Mus musculus: one gene and its partners. The protein of the gene in region 2 purifies or fractionates together with the protein of the main gene of each other region. This does not show direct contact. Links are inferred from orthologs where the notes say so. Each region holds a gene or a part of one and is shown on either strand. Other genes may lie near its edges. The genes, in order: Aak1, Ap2m1 and Necap2.

The links.
Region 1: the proteins of Ap2m1 (region 2) and Aak1 purify together in Homo sapiens (affinity purification with mass spectrometry; 5 studies listed by BioGRID and IntAct, counting the BioPlex papers as one, with this or other methods). This does not show direct contact. The link is inferred for Mus musculus from reciprocal best matches to the Homo sapiens genes AP2M1 and AAK1.
Region 3: the proteins of Ap2m1 (region 2) and Necap2 purify together in Homo sapiens (affinity purification with mass spectrometry; 4 studies listed by BioGRID and IntAct, counting the BioPlex papers as one, with this or other methods). This does not show direct contact. The link is inferred for Mus musculus from reciprocal best matches to the Homo sapiens genes AP2M1 and NECAP2.

Annotation. Positions count from the first base shown.
Region 1 is NC_000072.6:86,953,905-86,957,553, reverse strand, and holds part of Aak1 (AP2 associated kinase 1), read right to left. Parts: intron 2,451-3,649; coding exon 2,296-2,450; intron 1,296-2,295; coding exon 982-1,295; intron 1-981.
Region 2 is NC_000082.6:20,534,672-20,538,325, reverse strand, and holds the start of Ap2m1 (AP-2 complex subunit mu), read right to left. Parts: upstream 2,847-3,654; 5' UTR 2,725-2,846; intron 709-2,724; 5' UTR 666-708; coding exon 592-665; intron 1-591.
Region 3 is NC_000070.6:141,075,924-141,079,672, forward strand, and holds the start of Necap2 (adaptin ear-binding coat-associated protein 2), read right to left. Parts: upstream 2,435-3,749; 5' UTR 2,382-2,434; coding exon 2,290-2,381; intron 1-2,289. UniProt on the Homo sapiens protein: Involved in endocytosis.

The DNA of each region.
Region 1 (3,649 bases), on a different chromosome or scaffold from region 2:
CAGGGCCAAAAAGGGGGATTGGGTGGGTAGGGGATTGGGGGTGGGTGGGTATGGGGGACTTTTGGTATAGCATTGGAAATGTAAATGAGCTAAATACCTAATAAAAAATGGAAAAAAAAAAAGAAAGAAATTCTGCCACCTTCAAATACTCTATTTACTCTATTACTCTTTGCTTTATATGGGTCTCACTACATTGTCAAGGTTCATTCCAAAAACCCGTGGACTCAAGCAACTCTGCTGACTTAGCTTCCCAAGTGGCTGGGGCTAAAATGCACCTTAGACCCATCTTCTTGGCATTTCTTTTATGTCTTTCTAATCCACACTGCAGGGAGGTACATGCAGAGAGTTGGCTCAGTGGTTAGGAGTGCTTGCTGGAGTATAGATCCCAGCACATATGTAACAAGCCAGGTATCCAGCAAATGTCTGTAATTCTAAATTCCATTTAGAGTTGATCCATTGCTCCTCTTGCCTCTGAGTGTTCACAGGTATATGTGCCCAAATATATACATATGTATACACTCACACAGACACACACACACACACACACAATTTTTTTAAAAGAGAAATCAATCATTATAAAATATATATGTTCAAAGTTAAAAAATATGTAAAAATAATGGAAAATAATATATCCTAACTAAATAGAGTACATGAACCTTGTTTGGCTACTGATCCAACCAAGCTAACTTAAACTATGCAACATCTAAAACCTTGACACTACTGGATAGTGTGTCATTGTTATTCCCCTCTCCCCCATTTCCTTAGAAAGTAGCTCTGTCAGTCAGGGTGTTAAGTTGGGTAAATTCCCCAAGGCTTGAGGACATGTTCTGAGAGTTATTAACTACACTTCAATGCTTCAGTTTCTACATCTGTGGAGAAGTGGAGACATTGGTCAGTGACTCTTGGTCATCCTAGCACTTCTCAGGCCTTTGAATACTAATATCCCTCTGTACAAAGTAAGGGTCATATAGAGCTCCTCACCTGCTGAGTCTGAGCCTGCTGCTGCTGCTGTTGCTGCTGCTGCTGGTAAAAGGTGCCTGCAGGCTGTGGTGGTGCTGTAGGCTGCTGAGGCTGTTGCTGCTGTTGCTGCTGTTGCTTGAGGAGGTGTTGCTGCTGGTGCTGGGGAGTGGCCTGGGCCTGGGTGGGCAAACCTTGTGTCTGGGTAGCAGGTGTCTGCTGTGGGGTGGGTGGAGCTTGTGGTTGCTTGGGTTGAGATGACTGAAGAGGTTGACTGGGTGTGGCTTGGGCTTTAGGTTGGGAAACACTGGGTAGAAGTCCAGGCTGATTGCTGGGTCCTACAATGAAAATAAACTCCATGTAAGGGCTTAAAACTCTACCAGACAAAATGGCTTTCTGAAGCCTGGCAGTGGTGGTGCACACCTTTAATCCCAGCACTTGGAAGGAGAGACAGATGGATCTCTGTGAGTTCGAGGACAGGAAGGGCTACACAGAAAAACCTTATTTAAAAAGGCTTTGTGATTTGCTACACAAGAAATGGCAGAAGTAGGCAGACTTTCCCAAGCTTTGTCTGTTCCTCACTATTTTGCCATCTGGGATGTTCTACTCGGAATAGCTTTCCACTTCTTGCCAAATCACATGCTTCCACAGTTTCAAAGGCAGGTGGAACTGTAGACTTCAGTGCCTGCCTCCTGCAGAGGGTTTCCCTCACCCTCCATCTCATTCAGTCACCTTGCTCTGCAGTCAGCACCTCTTGTTTCCCTTACACGCAGCTGACAATTGAAGCTAAACATAGTCTGTGTACCAGCTTGCATGCAACAGCAAAAGCATTCTTTGATATTTATGAGTAGTTTACACAACTAGCATCTGCATGCCTGGCTTTATATGGCTAGCCACCAAATTAATTAGAAATGGTTCCTGGTGAGAAATGTGATGGCTGTGGTCTGTGACTTCTTGTTTTGGATCAATTCCCTTTATGAAAAAAAGCTCACTCCCCTTGTTATAACAGAACACAAAGATGATAAATACTCCAGTAAACACAGCATTAATAAAATATCCTTCTGTGGTTATCAAAAATAAGTAAGCCTTGTTTCTTTAAAAGCAAGGAAAAATATATAAGATAAATAGGGTGGAGTGGATAGAGGTGCAATAAGAAAATAAATGCAGACAACAGGCTTCAGAGGTCTTAGTGATCCACCCGAGTACAGAAAGAAGTTCTTCCTTGTACTGCCACTGGCCATACACACTCATAGGCAGCTCAGCGCATTATTCTTTAGGCTGTGCCTTCTAACACTACCATCAAGAAGCACTGGAACAAGCTGCAAACCAGTTACTGACCTGCAGCCTGAGGTAGGGGCTGAACAGTGGCCCTCTTCCGAGGAGTCAGGGCTGGCTGGATGGGAAGGATGCCTGGGTTTGGCTGAGTCTGCCCAGCTTTAGGCCTCTGGCGGGGTGCGATTGAAGTCTCTGTGGTGGGAATGGGATCGGTCAGTCTAGAAAAGGAAAAACAAAGCTACTGTTAAAATGTGAGAAAATAGAGGGCATATGCAGAACACAAGATGTCTGCCCTTAACACGCCTCCAAAACATTCAGTGTGGATTGGCTTAATCAATACTTCCCCAAATGCCAATTCACCTACAAAGGCAAACACATCAAAATAACATCTCTCTCATCAACAACCTTAAAGCCAAGAAAGCACAGAATGATACAAAGTACATAACCTTCAACCAAAATTACCAAACCCAGTAAAGCCATCTTGGAAAGCAACGGAGATTCAAGGTCATTTGTGAGGGGGCCGTGCAAGTGCCAGGACGCACGTGTGGAGGTCAGAGGGCAACTCTAGGTGTTGGTTCTCATCTTTTACCTAGTTTGAGACAGGGTTTTCCTTGTCAACACTGCATACACCAGGCTAGCTTGTCTGTCAACTTCCTGCAATTATCCTATGTCTGTCTCTCAGCTACTGGTTGGGGCATGCTAGGATTACAAACACATGCCCTACTGTAGGCAGCTTCACATGGGTTCTGGCAAGTAATAATTACCCACAAGGCCATCTCCCCAGCCCCAAATAAGGACATTTTAAGATAAACACAAACTAAAGGAGCTCATGAACACCAACCCTGCCTGACATGATGGTACAATAGCGGCACAAACAGTGGGGAGTAAACACCCACTCTTTGATTGGATTTAAGGTCCACTCCATGAGACGGAACCCATGCCTGATACTGCTCGGGTGGCCAAGAACCTGAGACTTGATAGGCTATGGCCTAGCGGAAAACCAAGTACTATTATTCTATTAAAGGAACACAGCTATAAAATGACTTCTAGTGATATTTTCTGCTATATCCATACACTAGTGTCTTGCTCAGTCATCATCAAAGAAGCTGTCTCTTATTGCAGTAGATGGGAACTAATAGAGAGACCCACAACTGGACAATATGTAGAATGTAAAACTGGACACTCAGCCCTAAATGGGATGTCTTCATCAAACCCCAAACCTCAGGGCTAACAGAGAAGAGGAGGTGGAAAGATTCTAAGAGCCAAAAGGGATAGAGGGCACCAAGGAAATGTCTTCCAGACACAACAGGACTGACAAACATACACAGTCTGTGTATTCTGCACAGGTTCAAGCCAGACGGCGTCCTAGCACTGACAGAGGGAAGTGGACATGATCTACCATCCCTAACCGAGACAC
Region 2 (3,654 bases):
AAAGAAAACCAAGGCAGGAAGAAACAGAAGAGCCTAGCCTCAGGCTAGACAGTGGAGGATCTCTTAGCAAGCAGCCAGAGTGTGAGGCAGAGTGAGAAGTGAGACTTTAGGAGGTCTTAGGAGCTGTCCAGCTCCACCCAGATGAGCTACAAAGGCAGCATGACCCGCAGAGCACAGTAAGCCGGTTCACAACCAGGGAGGGCCCAGGAGAACTGAAAACAGCTGAGTCAGCAGACTACAGAGAGGTTTTAAGGGGATCTAGGGAAGGCTCTCAATATGAGAAGGATTTGAAAGCAAGATTTAGATGGATTAGTATCTCCACACACACACACTAACTACACCCACTGGAGAGAGTGCTCCCTTCTAAAAGGAAGACCAGGCAAAAGCACCTGGTCTTCAGCCACCAGACCTACCCCAAAGACACAGGGAGCAGGAAGGGCAGGGATTCCTAACCCTAGGGGGTGGAGGTGTCATTCCGAGGCCTGGAGCCTAGCAGCTAGGCCAGTGCCCAATGGGAACCAGGCTATATTGCATGCTCAGGCTGAGGCAACAGGGAGGTTGAAACACAGCATGCTCAGTCAAGGGACTTACCCGATGTCATCTCTGTAGACCCGGGAGATAAGCACCTCCCCCTTGTGATTATAGATGAATAAGCCTCCGATCATGGTGGCAGCTCAGTCTCTGTGACCCATTGCTCTGAGAACAGACCTAGGTAGGAAAGGGGAGGGGGGATTAGGGAAAGGGGAAATCTTTAGAACCCGTCCACGCCAATGGGGCTGTACAGGCCCGCCTTGTTTCCTGACTCAGTCCTCTAGCAAGTGACTCCCAAGTCCTCCGCAGCCCTCCCGAGGCTCCAGTTCCTGTTTTTCCACACTGGATAGGGGACAGCACTTTAAGAGTGTGAGGCCCGGGGATTTAGGCCATTTTTATCCAGCCTTTTCTGAGGGCTGAGGAAAGTAACCACAAGGCCGAGCTCAGCCCCCTACTGTGCACTCTCACTCCTGCTGCTTCCAGTGAGTCACAGAGAAGGCCTGCCTGCAGATGCAGGAATGGCGTGGCGGGAGGGATTACTCTAGTTGGCTTGAGCCTGGGCCTGCCACCAGGCATAACCTTTAGAGCAAGCATTACCCTTCCAAGAAGGCAACGGAGCATGACCCTCTAGAAGTCTACACATTCCAGGAAAGGGTGTGCAGGGTGAGGTGGGGCTGGGAGGGAAGAGGCCCTTAGGCTCTAACACAGAGCCAGGAAGGTGGCTGAAGCAGGCACATCTTTCCCAGGCAGAGAGATAAGCAGACAAAGGAACAGAGGCCCGCTTAATAAGTTCTTTAAAAGATTTCATTTTTACCGACACACAGGTACATGCCAGTGTGCTGTATGTGTGGAAGCTAGGTGTTAGACTGAACACTGCCCTCCACCCCTCAAGCCTGAGTTAGGGTGGTACTGAGCCAAATGACATGTGCCGGGACCTGAACTCAGGTTTTCTGGAAAAGCAGTAAGAACTCTTCAATGCTGAGCCCCTTTTACAGTTATTTCTGGTTACTGTCTTTTCAAAATTTCTAAGTGTGACAAAAATTAGGTCTGTATGTAGTAGCATTAATCCTGCCATCTAAATTGTGTCTCCAAATCTGCCAAGTCAGTCACTTCTGGCCTGGTGTTTACCAAGCAATGGGCAGGGATAACAGAATGCCTCGACTGCCCAAATTATTTTGGTCAAAATTAAGGTAGAATATTTGAGTAACGGGGTTAATCTGGTTCTAGATTTCTGGATTAGTCCAGATATTAATTTCACTGAGGTTAGTTTAACAGACTTTTTGAAACTGAAAAGTTAACCCTTGAAGCCCAGTGACAAGTCCAAAGAAGGTGAGAAAGAAAATGCAAAATGGAGGTTGAGCGCTGAGCAAAGGACCAAGTCCACAGGTATCAACCTCGGGTGGGGGATGGTGTGTGTGACCTCGGGGGGGGGGGCGGTGTGTGTGTGTCCTGGACGAAAATGCAATATTTAGTTAAGGAAAGGGTTAGCTGGAATTGCTAGCAAAAGACCAGGATGACCCCAAAGCACCAAATACAGCTGTGGGAGTCCCTAAAGGTCTCCTATGGCAAAGGTCATAGGAGCTTGGGAGGAGCGAAAAACAGCGAAAAGAGATAGACAAGAAAAAGAGAAAGCTGAGAGACAGGGCCTACTCTTCTGTTAGTGAAGCATAGGGGGCTGGTGGAGTTTTTCTCAGCTGAGGGAGGAGAAGACATCTAGGCCCGGGAGATGTCACCACGGGATGCGGGGGCTGTCACAGGTCTGAGGTACAAGAGCCGTGGGGGTAAACCAGGAGGATGGAATCTCTCAGTGTTCGAGAGAGACCTGTCACTGTCCAAGGGAGTGGCACCAGGGGATGTCAATGTCCTGGGGGATGGGGAAATAGGAAACCCCGGGGTTGAGCGGTTGTCAGGATTCTAGGGATGGGGCGCCGCGCGGCGTCTCCCGCTCTAGGATTCCAGCCCTAGTCTCTTCCCGGAGACGCCTGGCGGGTCACTGGAAGGCGTTGCTCCCCGCCCTTGCTGCAATCGCGCCCAAGGCACCCCCGCCCGGTTGTCTACTCCCTCCCGGGTCTGAAGGCTGAGGCCACTCCCCGGTGCGGGCAGTTTTCCACCCAGCACCGTGCAGGGCAAGGCAGGCTACCACAGCACCCTCGTCGCCTGATAAGGACCTCTAAGTCAAGCCTCCCAGCTCACCTGGAGTCAGCAGCCCCCACAAGGCCGGCCTGGCCACTCTCGGATCCCAAGATGTCCGCCCGCCCCCAGCTCGCCTGTCTGCTGCCTCGGCTTTCACTGCAGTGCTCCCGCCCCACCCCGCCCCGATCGCAGCTGCGCCTGCGCGCTCGCCTCCAGCGGCGACTACAAGTCCCGTCAGTCCCCGCAGCTTTCAAGCTGACACATCTGAGCGCCCTAGGCTCAACAAAACTACAACTACCGACAGCCTTCAAGACAGAGAAGACGTCAGCTTTAGTGCGCCTTGCAAGCAACACGTGTCGTGATACACTCCAACCATTGTTTGCTTCACTGAGAATCACGGGAAGTGTAGTCTCTGCGACCCTTCCTGTTCCTAGTTAAGTGGGGTAGCTTTAAGAGACCAAAGCTATTTGTCGAAACCAATTGTAAATTTTGAATTACTATAGTCTTTTATTGTCTCCAGATTTCGAAGACTGGCTACTTTACAAACACAACTTGGCATAAGCTTGTTACTGCTGAATTTACTGTTTTTTTTTTTTTTTAAACACCACGTTTGATTCTCCCAAACGTGTGTGTGTGTGTTTTTATATATATATATAAAATTTATTTGTATGTATTTTATATATATTCTAGGATTGGACTGATCCCTTTCTCAGGGATAATTATCCAAACAGAAAAGCTGGGAAGGAAGACAGCTAAACGTTAATGTTTTCCTCAGCTAAATCTGTGACTGTGGTGTGATGGTGACGTATGCCGTTAATTCCAGAGTTCTGGAGGCAGAGGCAAGAGCATCTCTGTGAGTTTGAGGCCATCCTGGTCTAAATAGAGAGTTTCAAGACAGCCCAGGCTACATAAGAGACCCCTTTTGCCCTCTACTCCAGTTTAGTTGGGCATGGGATTTTAAAATCCCATTTCTCCTTTAATCCCAGCACT
Region 3 (3,749 bases), on a different chromosome or scaffold from region 2:
AACAAAAAAGTCCTTATTACAGGGCTGGAAAGATGGCTTAGGAGTTAAGAACATTGGCTACTCTATCTGAGGACCTGAGTTCGATTCCCAACATCCACTTAGCAGATAACAAGGGTCTGTAACTTGAGTCCTGTGATACACGCAGACAAAACATCCATACATATACAAAAAGTAAATGTAAAAATGAAAACTGTAATAGCTATTCTTGGCAAGGCTGTCCCTCAGGAAGTCCTCAGAATCCGAAGCTCGTAACTGTTCCGTTATGAAACAGTCTTCAAAATCTCCAGTCATTTCAAGTTGTCCAAAATATTATTCTTAGCCTGTGGCCATTCAAAACTGCAGGCAGTTGGAGCGTGCTGGCATTCAAAACGCCCACACGCAGCCGCTGTTGCTGGCCCCTATTCTAAAGACCACAGACCTTCACCCAAGTGGGAATTCCTTCCCAGCTTCCTGTCCATAGAGGAAGCAGCTCCGGGCCTATTGTGTCTGTTAAGGCACTGTGATGCCAAGCTAGCGGGACCAACCGGCTGGGGGACCCTTGAGACCATGGAGGGAGTACAGAGGGACAGGATCTTTGGTAGAAAGAGTGTAAAAGTGCATGAGGGTCCGGGGGAGGAAAGAGCGGCTAGGAAGGATATTCTCGGCTGTATTCCAGGTAGGAGGGAACGAGGACCCTCGTCAATGCCTTCTTTGGCTCCTTTAGAAGGCAACAGTGTCGTCGTCAGCAGCAGCAGCAGCAGCAGAAGCAAAGAGAAACCCCTGAACAGCAAATGCCATGGGTACTTTCAGAAGGCTTTTCTGGGAAGTTCTAAGCAAAGCCACTGTCAGCTCTCTAGAACTCTAGCTGGCAGCTGTGGCAGATCCACATGAATGTACATCTTCAGCTAACAAGGCAGCAGGCTCAGTTTCTGTTCCTCTTCCTGGCGCCGCGGGCTTTAGATTCAGGCTAAGGAGAGCCCGAAAGGTTGAGTGTAGGGCGGGCAGCTTCCTCTGTATCAAACCAGCCTGGCTGGATACTTGGTGACCCCACCCTCCGGAGGATCAAGAGAAGCTAACCCTAGTCTACTGAACGAAGACCCAACAGATAGGGGTAGACTGCCAATCTCCGGTTTGATAACAAGAAAGGAAAGGGAGACAGCTGTGGAGATGATTCGGTGCAGATGAGCAAGCTTGAGGCCCCGAGTTTGGATCTCTAGCGCCTAAAAGCCAGGTCTGGCTCCAGCTACCTGTAGACCCTCCACTGTGTGGGGTGGGGCAGAGAAAGGAGTTTCACTGGGCTTGCTGAACACCTAGTCTAGATGAAAACAGCCAACCCCAGCTTCAGTTAGGGGCCACCTCAAGGGAACAACGGACATGAAAAAAGCAAGACACTGGCTGGAACTCCTGTGGCTTCTGCATGCACCCGCACCACACCCAGACACGCAAAAGCAAGCACAGGCAGCTGTAGCTTGCTGACCTCCATTCTTGTCATTTTAATATTATTTTAAAATCATCGCACCGACACAGTTAAGTGTTCTAAGATACCCATTCAGAAAATGTTATGAGCCTGTGTTACATAGCGCAAAGGGCAGATGGAGTTGGCCCTCCAACACATTTGTGGTACCCGACGACCTGTTTCCAAACAACTCAGACACCCATCGCCTTCGAGAGCCACCCAGCCTAAGTAGCAACACCCCACCACAGGGCACAGGACACACCACGTATTTTTCATCTTTTTCAGTTAGGGAAGGTGTCCAACTTTGTGTCTCCTCTCCTAGACTAGAGTCCTGGGTTCCCTTCCGGAGACACTCCGTGTGTTTACAGGCATTTGAGTTTATTTGCCTCAGGTGACGCTCACTCAAGACAAGGGCGGCGGTATCCTCCCAGCTGCAAGTATGTTGTGATCAGGGGTGAAACTGGGGTCAGGAGAGCCGGAGATAGGAACAGCGTCCCTGGGCTTCGTGGGACGGGTCCCCCAGATGGCCGGGTTCCCTCCCGTGCCCTCCCGGCGGGGATTTCCGCGGGTGGCAGGGTTTTCTGGGATCCCGTCACGACTGTCGGTTAGCGCTGTGACACGACCCGTAGACCCCGCCGAGGGAACCCACTGCGCTCTCGGGTCCCCAGGAGCTGGCTGCGACCGTTGCCGGCGTCCCGCTGACGGCTCAGGGCCAGCGACCCCTCCTAAGTCTGGCCCCGATTAAAGTAGCCACAGGGCTCCATCCTTTCCGCCCCTAAACCCGACAACCGGTCCTCGTCCCCCGCAGTGCATGCCGGGGCGGGGGACGGGAAGATTAAGCCAGGAACGGTCACCTGTAACCACGGTTGGTGGCCCGCGGCGGGATGCGGTAGACGTGGACCTCCGGCTTGACACACAGAACAGACTCGTACTCACTCTCCTCCATCTCTATCGCCCGAGCCCTCGGGACTTCCGGCTTCTCCCCGCCCCTTCAGGACCGGAAGTGATGCGACTCTATGACCAAGTTCTGTCTAGAGCGGAAGCTCCGGGGGACCCCCCGATCGCTCCCGAGTGCCCTCTGCCGGGCGCCTCAGATCAGACCGTGAAGCGATTGCTCTCTGCTGCTGTGGGACCTGAGAAGCTCGAGATGCCGCTGATCTGAGCCTAATCCCGAACCTGGTTGTAGTTCAAACTCTATACCCTAGACCAGGGTGGCTGATATGCAAGATACCCTGCAGCCCTGCCCTTCTGACGGAATGTCCTTGTCCCCGCCAATCCCAGAAGGTTCTCAGAGGCTTCTGGAGGAATCTCGCTCCACAACTTTTTATAACCTACTATGTGCGCAAGGCCCCAGTGGCTTAGCGCAACAGGAGTACAAATCAAAGTTGTGAACCAAAGTTCCTGGTTGTCTTTGCTGTGAAGAGACACTATGACCAAGGCAACACTTACAAAAAGAAATCCTTTCATTGGGGGCTTGCTTACAGTTTCAGAGGCTTAGTCCATGATTAGCATGCGGGAGAGCATGGCGGCATGCAGGCAGGCGTGATACCAGAGAAGCAGCTGAGAGCTGTACGTCATGATCCTGGTGGGGGTGGAAGGGCCACAGCACACAGGGATGGGGCGGGAGGAAGGGGAGCACGGACGACAGTGACCCGGGCCTGATACGGGCTTTTGGAAAACTCAAAGACCAAACCCCCATCACAGCTTTTCCAACGAGGACACACCTCCTAATCCTTCCACGAGGTTGATCACTTGTGAAAAGCTAGAATAAGGCAGATTGGGAGGCGAATTGATTTTGAGTTATCTTGACCCTCTAAATAGCCATTTATTGGCCACCTCTGTATGTGACCTAAGATCCTTGTGACTATTAGGTAAATCCTTTGGAAGGTACAAATGCCAGCTTTCACCAATAAAGGCTAAGAATGTCATCAGATAGCAAGTAAGGGCCATAAATGATGTTTCCCGGCTTTGCGGTGACTCACCTGCCTGAGGTCTCCACCAACGGTTTGAAAAATGCCTCGGTTTGATGTTTGTTTTGTTTTGTTGATTTTTTGGGTTTTTTGTTTTTGTTGGTTTTTTTTGAGACAGGGTTTCTCTGTGTAGCCCAGGCTGTCCTGGAACTCATTTTGTAGACCAGGCTGGCCTCAAACTCAGAAATCCACCTGCCTCTGCCTCCCGAGTGCTGGGATTAAAGGCGTGTGCCACCACGCCTGGCTCAGTTTTTTGGTTTTTCGAGACAGGATTTCTCTGTGCAGTCCTGGCTGTCCTGGAACTCACTCTGTAGACCAGGCTGGCCTCGAACTCCGAAATCTGC